Rattus norvegicus: one gene and its partner. The protein of the gene in region 1 purifies or fractionates together with the protein of each later gene. This does not show direct contact. Links are inferred from orthologs where the notes say so. Each region holds a gene or a part of one and is shown in the gene's direction. Other genes may lie near its edges.

Region 1 (4,252 bases):
TTTTCACAGTAACCCGTGACACTGAAGTACCTATTTTTTTTTTTTTTTCCCGGAGCTGGGGACCGAACTCAGGGCCTTGCGCATGCTAGCAAGCGCTCTACCACTGAGCTAAATCCCCAACCCCCTGAAGTACCTATTTTACACAAGGGGAAAGAAAACAGACTGAAATCATTTAAATTAGTAACTAGTAAGTTGAATTAAAACCACACCTGCCTGTATTCACAGCTCAGGACTCTATTTTCAAATTTTATTTAGCATTTATTAGTTTATCTATATGAAAAATTTTCCCCCCGCACATGTGTTCTTGCAAGTGTGTGTCTGGCGTCCTCGGGAGGAAGGCAAGGGCATCAGACTGTAACAGCTGATTTAAGCCACTACGCTGATTAGTATAACTTCTATGTTAACATTGTTACAAAATAAATGCCCTAGAATCTGTACAGTTTATCCTTTTACTTATGTAAACGAGTGTTCTATCTGCATGTACACCTGCATACTAGAAGAGGGCATCAGTTTAGTTGATTGTGAGCCACCATGAGGTTGCTGGGATTTGAACTCAGGACCTGTGGAAGAGCTGTCAATGCTCTTAACTACTGCACCATCTCTCCAGCCTCAGCTTATTTTGAAAATTTTGCTTATTTTTTTTTATTTATATGGGTGTTTTGCCTGCCTGCCTGCATAACCTGGTGCCTGTAGATGCCAGAAGAGGGATCTGTCTCCCTGGAACTGGAGTTACAGCCAGTTTTTTTTTTTTCTCCTTCGGAGCTGGGGATCGAACCTAGATGCCTTGCGCTTGCTAGGCAAGCGCTCTACCACTGAGCTAAATCCCCAACCCCAGCCAGTTTTGAAATACAGCGTACATGCTGGGAACTTTGCAAACCAAGGTCCACTTAAAGTACGGCTATGACTCTGTTCTTGAAGTGATGGACTCAAGAACATACCAGTCTACCTGGTTTTCAAAAGACCTGGTCTTTAGCCCGAGATGACTGCAGTTCCGAGGACGATCCACTAGAGGAGGCAGCGCCAAGACAACCGTGCCTCTCTTTCCCACTCTCACCTCGTTTGTCAGCCTAGGAGAAAAATCCCGCCTCCTGACCCATAAGGCCACGGGGCCGGAAGTCCCACTCTCTCTTCCTGTTCTCCACCATGGCGGTGAGTAGAGCAAGAGTTGCTTTTGCCTCTCTTTCATCCATCTCCATCCGCGGCCGGCGGAGCCCACGAGGGCTGTTTCGCCGGTGGCTGGAGGAGGACGGAGCCCGCGATGCTGGTGGCATTAAGACCGGCAGGGCTGTGCGGGCGCAGGGCTCGCCCGTCACGTCGCCGCCCATCGTAGGAATGGGGCTCAGGTCAGCGGCCCCGAGGGCCCAGACGCGGGGTCTGGGGGCTTCCGGGAGCGCGAGCGGAATGTGCCGAGCTCTCTGTCGGGTCCCAGCCCAGGGGACTTGAAGCTTGTTTGGTGCTGGGGAGCATCTGCGGGTCCCTACTCAGGACTGGTGCTCGCTTGCAGACAGCTTGGGAAGGAGGAGGGCAGGTCGCGTAGGCCGATGTTTCCTGTAGTTTGTCATTTTAAGGTTACATTGTATTCTCTCCTGTCTGATTGGCTTTCTATAAGCTCTTGTGTCTATTACCCAGAAACATCGACCGCCTTAGCATTCAGGCTTACTCAGTGCTCCTCCGCCCCAAACACTGAGACCTTTTTAGTCCTTAGTCCATAGGATTCGGGACCGTAGAGATCAGACTGGAGAAGACATTGGCTTCTCGACTTTGACGGCTGCGTTTACTCTTTTCTGCAGCAAGATCAGGGTGAAAAGGAGAACCCCATGCGGGAACTTCGTATCCGCAAGCTCTGCCTCAATATCTGCGTGGGGGAGAGTGGAGACAGACTGACCCGAGCAGCCAAGGTGTTGGAGCAGCTCACAGGCCAGACCCCTGTGTTTTCCAAAGGTGAGTGGTGATGGGCTAGCCAGAGAGGCGTGGATGGAAGGCCTCAGTCCATCTAGCCGGAACAGGAGTGCGAATAGGGAGCTAGAGTAGACGTGTAGTATTCCGCCTGGTTGACAGGTAAGAACAGGGTTAATACATTACACTGCTGGGGTGAGAGACTATCCGTTCTTATTCTTAATATTCATGTTCGTATCTGAGTACTCTGTTTGCTTGACAGAAGAGGGCGTGAGATGTTGTTATAGATGGTTGTGAACCACCATGTGGGTGCTGCTGGGATTTGAACTCAGGACCTCTTTAAACCACTGAGCCACCTCTCCAGCCCCCTATCAGTGCTTCTTAACTTTAGGCTCTACCTCAGCTTCCTTAAAATGAATTCTGATTCCCTTGTGTGGCCACATGGGAGGTGTTAATGTGCTTGAAACATGGGGTCTGTTGGGAGTGTGGTTATAGGTGGTCTGTTGTTGGGATTGGATACCCTTTCTTAGTACCACCGGTGAGCCTGGGCTAGTTAGCCTCAGGACATCTGGACAGTCGGCCTTTTGAAAATACTAGCTTTTACCAATGTCAACCTCCCAGCTTGTCCCTTCCACACCCCATTCTGGATTTTGAATGCAGGTTCCTGTATGATAGAGCATAATGTTAAGCTAGGCCTGGTAGCCTATGATTGTAACTCCTGTACCCGGACTGAAACAGGAAGATTGCTCCCAGGTCAAGGCCAGCCTGGGCTACATTTGACATTCTCAAGGAGTATTAACGGTGCTAACCTTTGTCTCTGACTTGCCTAATGTCATGAACTCTGGGGATTGTAATGTTCTTAGCTGAAGTGCGGCTGGGGACATTAGAGCTGGAAAGCTCTGTTCTGTGTTGGTGGGTGAGGTTGATTAACACGTTAGATGCCGGGCAGTGGGAGTAAAATGTTACCTACCTCTCTGTTCCCTTCTTGCAGCTAGATACACCGTCAGGTCCTTTGGCATCCGGAGAAATGAGAAAATCGCTGTTCACTGCACTGTCCGTGGAGCCAAGGCAGAGGAGATTCTGGAGAAAGGCCTGAAGGTGAGGTGGGCTGGCCTGGAAGTGGGGAACATTTGATGGATGATGAGAGATGATTTGGTTTAAGGGAAGGGTTGCCTGTTCTCCTGGCTGGGATGCACAGAGTTTTGGTTTTGCTCCGGACCTTCTGGGTGTTGGTCTGAGCTCATACTATGCTCTTTAAACACAAGGAATAACCTGGTTGCTCTTTATGTCTCCTCAGGTGCGAGAGTACGAATTACGGAAGAATAACTTCTCAGATACCGGCAACTTTGGCTTTGGGATTCAGGAACACATTGACCTAGGCATCAAATATGACCCAAGCATTGGCATCTATGGCCTGGATTTCTATGTGGTATGTGGAATGTGGACTTCTTGATCCCAAGCTGCCTGTGGGGAGAGGGCCTGCTGCTCCTCTGTCTGTTGTCCGCACATGCTGTCTTGCTGTTGGGATGTAGTGCTGGGTTGAAGTCTGTGTCTTGTCTGCCTGTGTGTCCCCCTTGAGAGAAGGGCCTTGTTCTAGCAAGTGTACAGGTTCAACCACACAGGGTTGACAGGTCTCTGCTGTGCAAAGCTCTCTGGGAGAAACCTGTGCTGCCTTTGTCCCTGGCATTGGCTACCCTGTCTCCACTCATCCCTAGTCTCTGGCACACGTGAGTTCTGTGGGGAAGACATGGAAACAGACTGTGCTCAAGTGGGGTTTTCATGTGGAAATGACTCTGTTACCACAGTGCTTCTGTGAGAGCAAAGAGCCAGACGTAAAAGTGAGACCTGAGGGGGAGGTCGGTTAGGGCGGCAGAGCTCTGGGCAGCTTCTGAACCAAGGGGGTGAGTGTGCCTTTGTGCCTTTGGGTGCTTTACATTTCTTCACATTACACATGTTGAAGGTTTTTGTTGTGAGGCAGGGTCTTTGGTTTACAGCCCAGGCTGGCCTTGAACTCCCTGCATGTTAGTATTACATGTGTGTCTGGTGCCTAGAGGCCAGAACAGGTCAAGGGAATCAGATCCCTCTTGAGACTGACGTTACAAGGCTGGAGACCAGTTGGGGAAGGAGCCTGCAGGGCATGTGTGTTCAGAGCTTGGTGTGTTGTCCGGGTAGCTAACGACACTTCCGTCCAACAGAGGTACTGGTCTTGCTTCAGAATCTGTTAAGTTTCTGGATGACTTGAAGATCGGTCTCTAATGTGTGAGTCTTGTCTGTCCACTGGTGACCCGGCCCTAGGCTGGCTAGATGACTGTTGGTTATTCTGGCACAGGTGCTGGGTAGGCCAGGTTTCAGCATC
Region 2 (3,646 bases), about 11 Mb from region 1:
CAGCTTGGAATTCTGTCTCAAAAACAAACAAAAAACCGAGGATCAGTATGGAGGCTCAGTGGTGAGATCATTCCTCTCAAGCCTGACAACCTAGGTTCTATCTCTGGACCCTACAGAGTAGAAGGCGGAAAGGGGATAATGACTCCTGCAGGCTGTCCTCTGAGCTCCACACAGGTGCTGTGGTGCCCCCGTCATAAATTTAAAAAGAAATCCATGTGACGGGCTTAGCAGAGTGCCCAGCAAGTAGAGAGTGTTGAGTCCTTGACCCTTGTGTCTGCATCTGCTGTTGTTGACTTGAATGCTGTCTTCAGCATCCAAGGGTCTAGCGTTCTCTGGGTGCTTTTGCCTTCTTGCATGTGTCTTGGATGCTTTAGTAGTCCCTTCAAGCCCTCTTAACTCTGAGGTTTGGGGTTCCTTCTCTGTGTGAACCGATGAGCTGGGATTGGCGCCAGGTTTCTTTGCCAGGACTGGCAGGAACATTTGTCAAATCTTGGTTCCATTCAGTGATGTTTAATTTTTGGTTTCATCCAGTCAGGAAGTTGGGTTCTGAAAACTGTTGAAACCCATTATGTCTTAGTTGGTGTTTGAATACACAGTGTGTGAGTGCAGGAGAGACATGTTTCCTCCTTAAGTTTGCAGAGAGTTCTAAGGAGTGATGAATGTGTAGACTCTGGGGGACTTGAGAATGACCTGGTGTCTTGCCTTCCCCTGTCAAAAGGTGAGCGAGGGGCAAAACCAATCTCTGTACTAAATGGCATGTTCTCTATCTGTGACACAGGAAATACTCGTGTGATCAAGCAGGCATCATTACAAAAATTTCAAGAGGAAATGGATAAAGTTATGAAGGATCCATACAAAGTTGTGATGAAACAAAGCAAATTACCGATGTCTCTTCTGCACGATCGAGTCCAGCCTCATGTAAGACAGCGCGCCCTGTTGGTGCTGCGGTGTCTTGGCCAGCTCTGGGCAGACAGACACTGCTTTAGTTTGTGGTTGTTTCCTAAGCAGCACTGAAGGTTTTGTTAGCTTTAGGTGCTCTCCTTTGTCACCCTGGCTGTGAATTGAGTTTGGTCCAGGAGGTGCAGTGTAGCGCTGTGTGGATCCAAACAGGACTTTCCATCTTCACTCAGCCCTTCTCTGTTCTTAGTTATGACTTGCCATGAATCTTAGCTTCCTTGCTGTAAAGAGAACACTCTTGCCTCTTCTCATGTCTGCATACAGCTGAAGCACCTGTAAGGGCTTGGTCTCAGAAGCCTGCAACATCCTGCCCATGGCTAAAGAGGTGATAGCTGTTAACTACTGTCGTGTGTGTGAGTGTGTGCGTGTGTGTGTGTCTCCACACACAAGTAGAGGCCAGAGGAAGACCTTGACTGTCATTCCTCAGGTACTATCTTCCTTCCCTTCCCTTCCCTTTTCCCTTTTCCCTTTTCCCTTTTTCCTTCCCTTTTCCCTTCCCTTCCCTTTCCCCTTCCCTTCCCTTCCCTTTTCCCTTCCCTTCCCTTTTCCCTTCCCTTCCTGAGGCAGGTTCTCTCGCTGGCCTAGAACTTAATAAGTAGGCCAGGCTGACTAGGAAGCGCCTGGGGTTGTCGGTGCTGGTTCGTCATCTCCGGGAGGTGTAGAGTGAAGGCTGAGATGGAAGGAGTCCTTCAGAGTTTTCTGAACTCTGAACTTGGAGGTTTCCAGGTACAGGAAAGGGTGCTGGTGCGATTGTTGGTTGCTGGAGTTGTAGTACAGTAAGGGCTGACTCTGGCCAGAGCAGAAGCACTTCACACGGAACAAAGGAGTGGCTTAACGTTCGCCTGCACATTTTAAATTTGCATTGAATAATAATTCCCAGAAACCCAGCCAGTGCACATGCTTCAGTGCCAGTCCGAGGAGGGGAGGGAAACACTGACATGCATACAAGGATTAAACAGTTCAAAGAAAAGTGTTTACTCGCAGAACAAAAATCAAAAGCAAAGCTGCCTATTGCCTCAGGTTTTGTCAATTATGTTCTGTTTTATGATGGGCTTGAAGAATGGCACCTATTAGTGAGTGACTGTTTCCTTTCAGGGAGACAGATGAGTGTAATTCATGGGCCACAGACAAGTTGCTCATTTCCCTTGTTCTCTTTGTCTCTTCTCCCTAAAGCCATCTTCTAACCAACCCTTGAGTCCGTTTCTGGGAAGAACAGAGTTCTGTTGTGGATTTATTGCTTTGTTGCTTGCGCCAGTTGTTGGCTGCTCAGATATCTGATGTGTGAAGTGAGGGAACCCTCAGTTTGGGAGTCAGCTTGTGTTTTGATGCAGGAAAATACTCAGAATAATTGGTGGGCTTTCTGCTTTGGCTTTGAAAACCCTTTATTTTAATCCAGTGACTGGCATGGTATGGTATGGACTCTAGTTCTGAAATGGTTCTGCACAGGGGACTCAAATCAGATATGTTCTTTTACACATTCAGTTCTGTGTGTTAAATGCATTTCTGTAGGAATGGAGTAAAAATAGTTTAACTTTGTGTGTGCATTTTAATTGTGTAGTATTACAGAAAGTAAACTTATCGGTTCAAAACCATGTGTTGCATAGGTTACAAGGTTTTTTTGAAGGTTTGATTTTTAGTGTGTGTGTGTGTGTGTGTGTGTGTGTGTGTGTGTGTGTGTGTGTGTGATGTGTTTGTGCATGTGAGTACGAGTGCCCTTGGAGGCTAGAGATTTCAGATCCCCTGGTTTGGAGCTGTTACAGGCAGCTGTGATCCCAGCGATTTAAGTACTGGAAATTGAACTCAGGTCCTCTGGAAGAGCAATATATGTCCTTGATTGTTGAGCTCTCTCTCCAGCCCAGTTAGAAGATTTCTGAGGATAATATATGCTCACCCTTGATTTGTATAATTGATATGGTTGTGTATCATTTGTCCCCACTCTTCATCTCCTGGGATACAGATTCACACCACTGCATCTTTTTGTGTAGTTTTTTTAACATGGCTTTCAGGGATTAAGCTGGGTCTTTACCCACTGAGCCATCTCTCCAGCCCAGTCATAGTTGATTTTTACTCATTGATTTCAGAACCCATTGCCACAGAAAATACAGTTTTCCTTGTGGATGGACATTTGCTCAGTTAGAAACTAGCAAGAAAATATAAGCCATGGGCTCAGGGAGTCCCAGTAAATGAGGCCACCTAAAGGTCCTAGGAAGGCTTGTGACTGCTCCACCACTCATGAGCCCCCTAGCTGGGCTTACCCAGGGCCCTGTGCTAAGAGAGAAAGGTGTGTGTTGTTTTGTTTTAAAGGAGAGAGTCTGCAGCCTGTAACATTCTCCAATGAGGTAGATCCTAACTCCAACTCCGACTTTTATCCTGCTTCAAGAATTGCCACGCCTGTAACTCCTCCACAGCGCATCAAGTTCTAGTTAGGATCGGGTTCCCTTTATCACATCTAACCTATTATTTTGGACTTTTGCTAGATGTTTTTCATCTGAAGCGTTTCCATGTGCATTTAATAAAAACGTTACCTAAATTAGGGAGAATGTTATCTGAAACTAAAATGCATCTTATAAAACAAGCAATTCCTTTTAGCCATGAGAGAAATTAATTTCCAAGAAAAAGTTGGCATTTACATTTGGTTTAAAAAAGAAAAAAACACTCACAAGTTTTGACTGATTGTCCTTGACAAAAC

The links. The genes of interacting proteins can lie anywhere in the genome.
Region 2: the proteins of Rpl11 (region 1) and Gnl2 purify together in Homo sapiens (co-immunoprecipitation; 3 studies listed by BioGRID and IntAct, with this or other methods). This does not show direct contact. The link is inferred for Rattus norvegicus from reciprocal best matches to the Homo sapiens genes RPL11 and GNL2.

The regions. Positions count from the first base shown.
Region 1 is NC_086023.1:153,557,999-153,562,250, reverse strand, and holds the start of Rpl11 (large ribosomal subunit protein uL5), read left to right. Parts: upstream 1-1,448; 5' UTR 1,449-1,790; coding exon of another isoform or gene 1,791-1,817; coding exon 1,818-1,941; intron 1,942-2,887; coding exon 2,888-2,994; intron 2,995-3,193; coding exon 3,194-3,325; intron 3,326-4,225; coding exon 4,226-4,252.
Region 2 is NC_086023.1:142,584,271-142,587,916, forward strand, and holds part of Gnl2 (nucleolar GTP-binding protein 2), read left to right. Parts: intron 1-778; coding exon 779-918; intron 919-3,646. UniProt on the Homo sapiens protein: GTPase that associates with pre-60S ribosomal subunits in the nucleolus and is required for their nuclear export and maturation.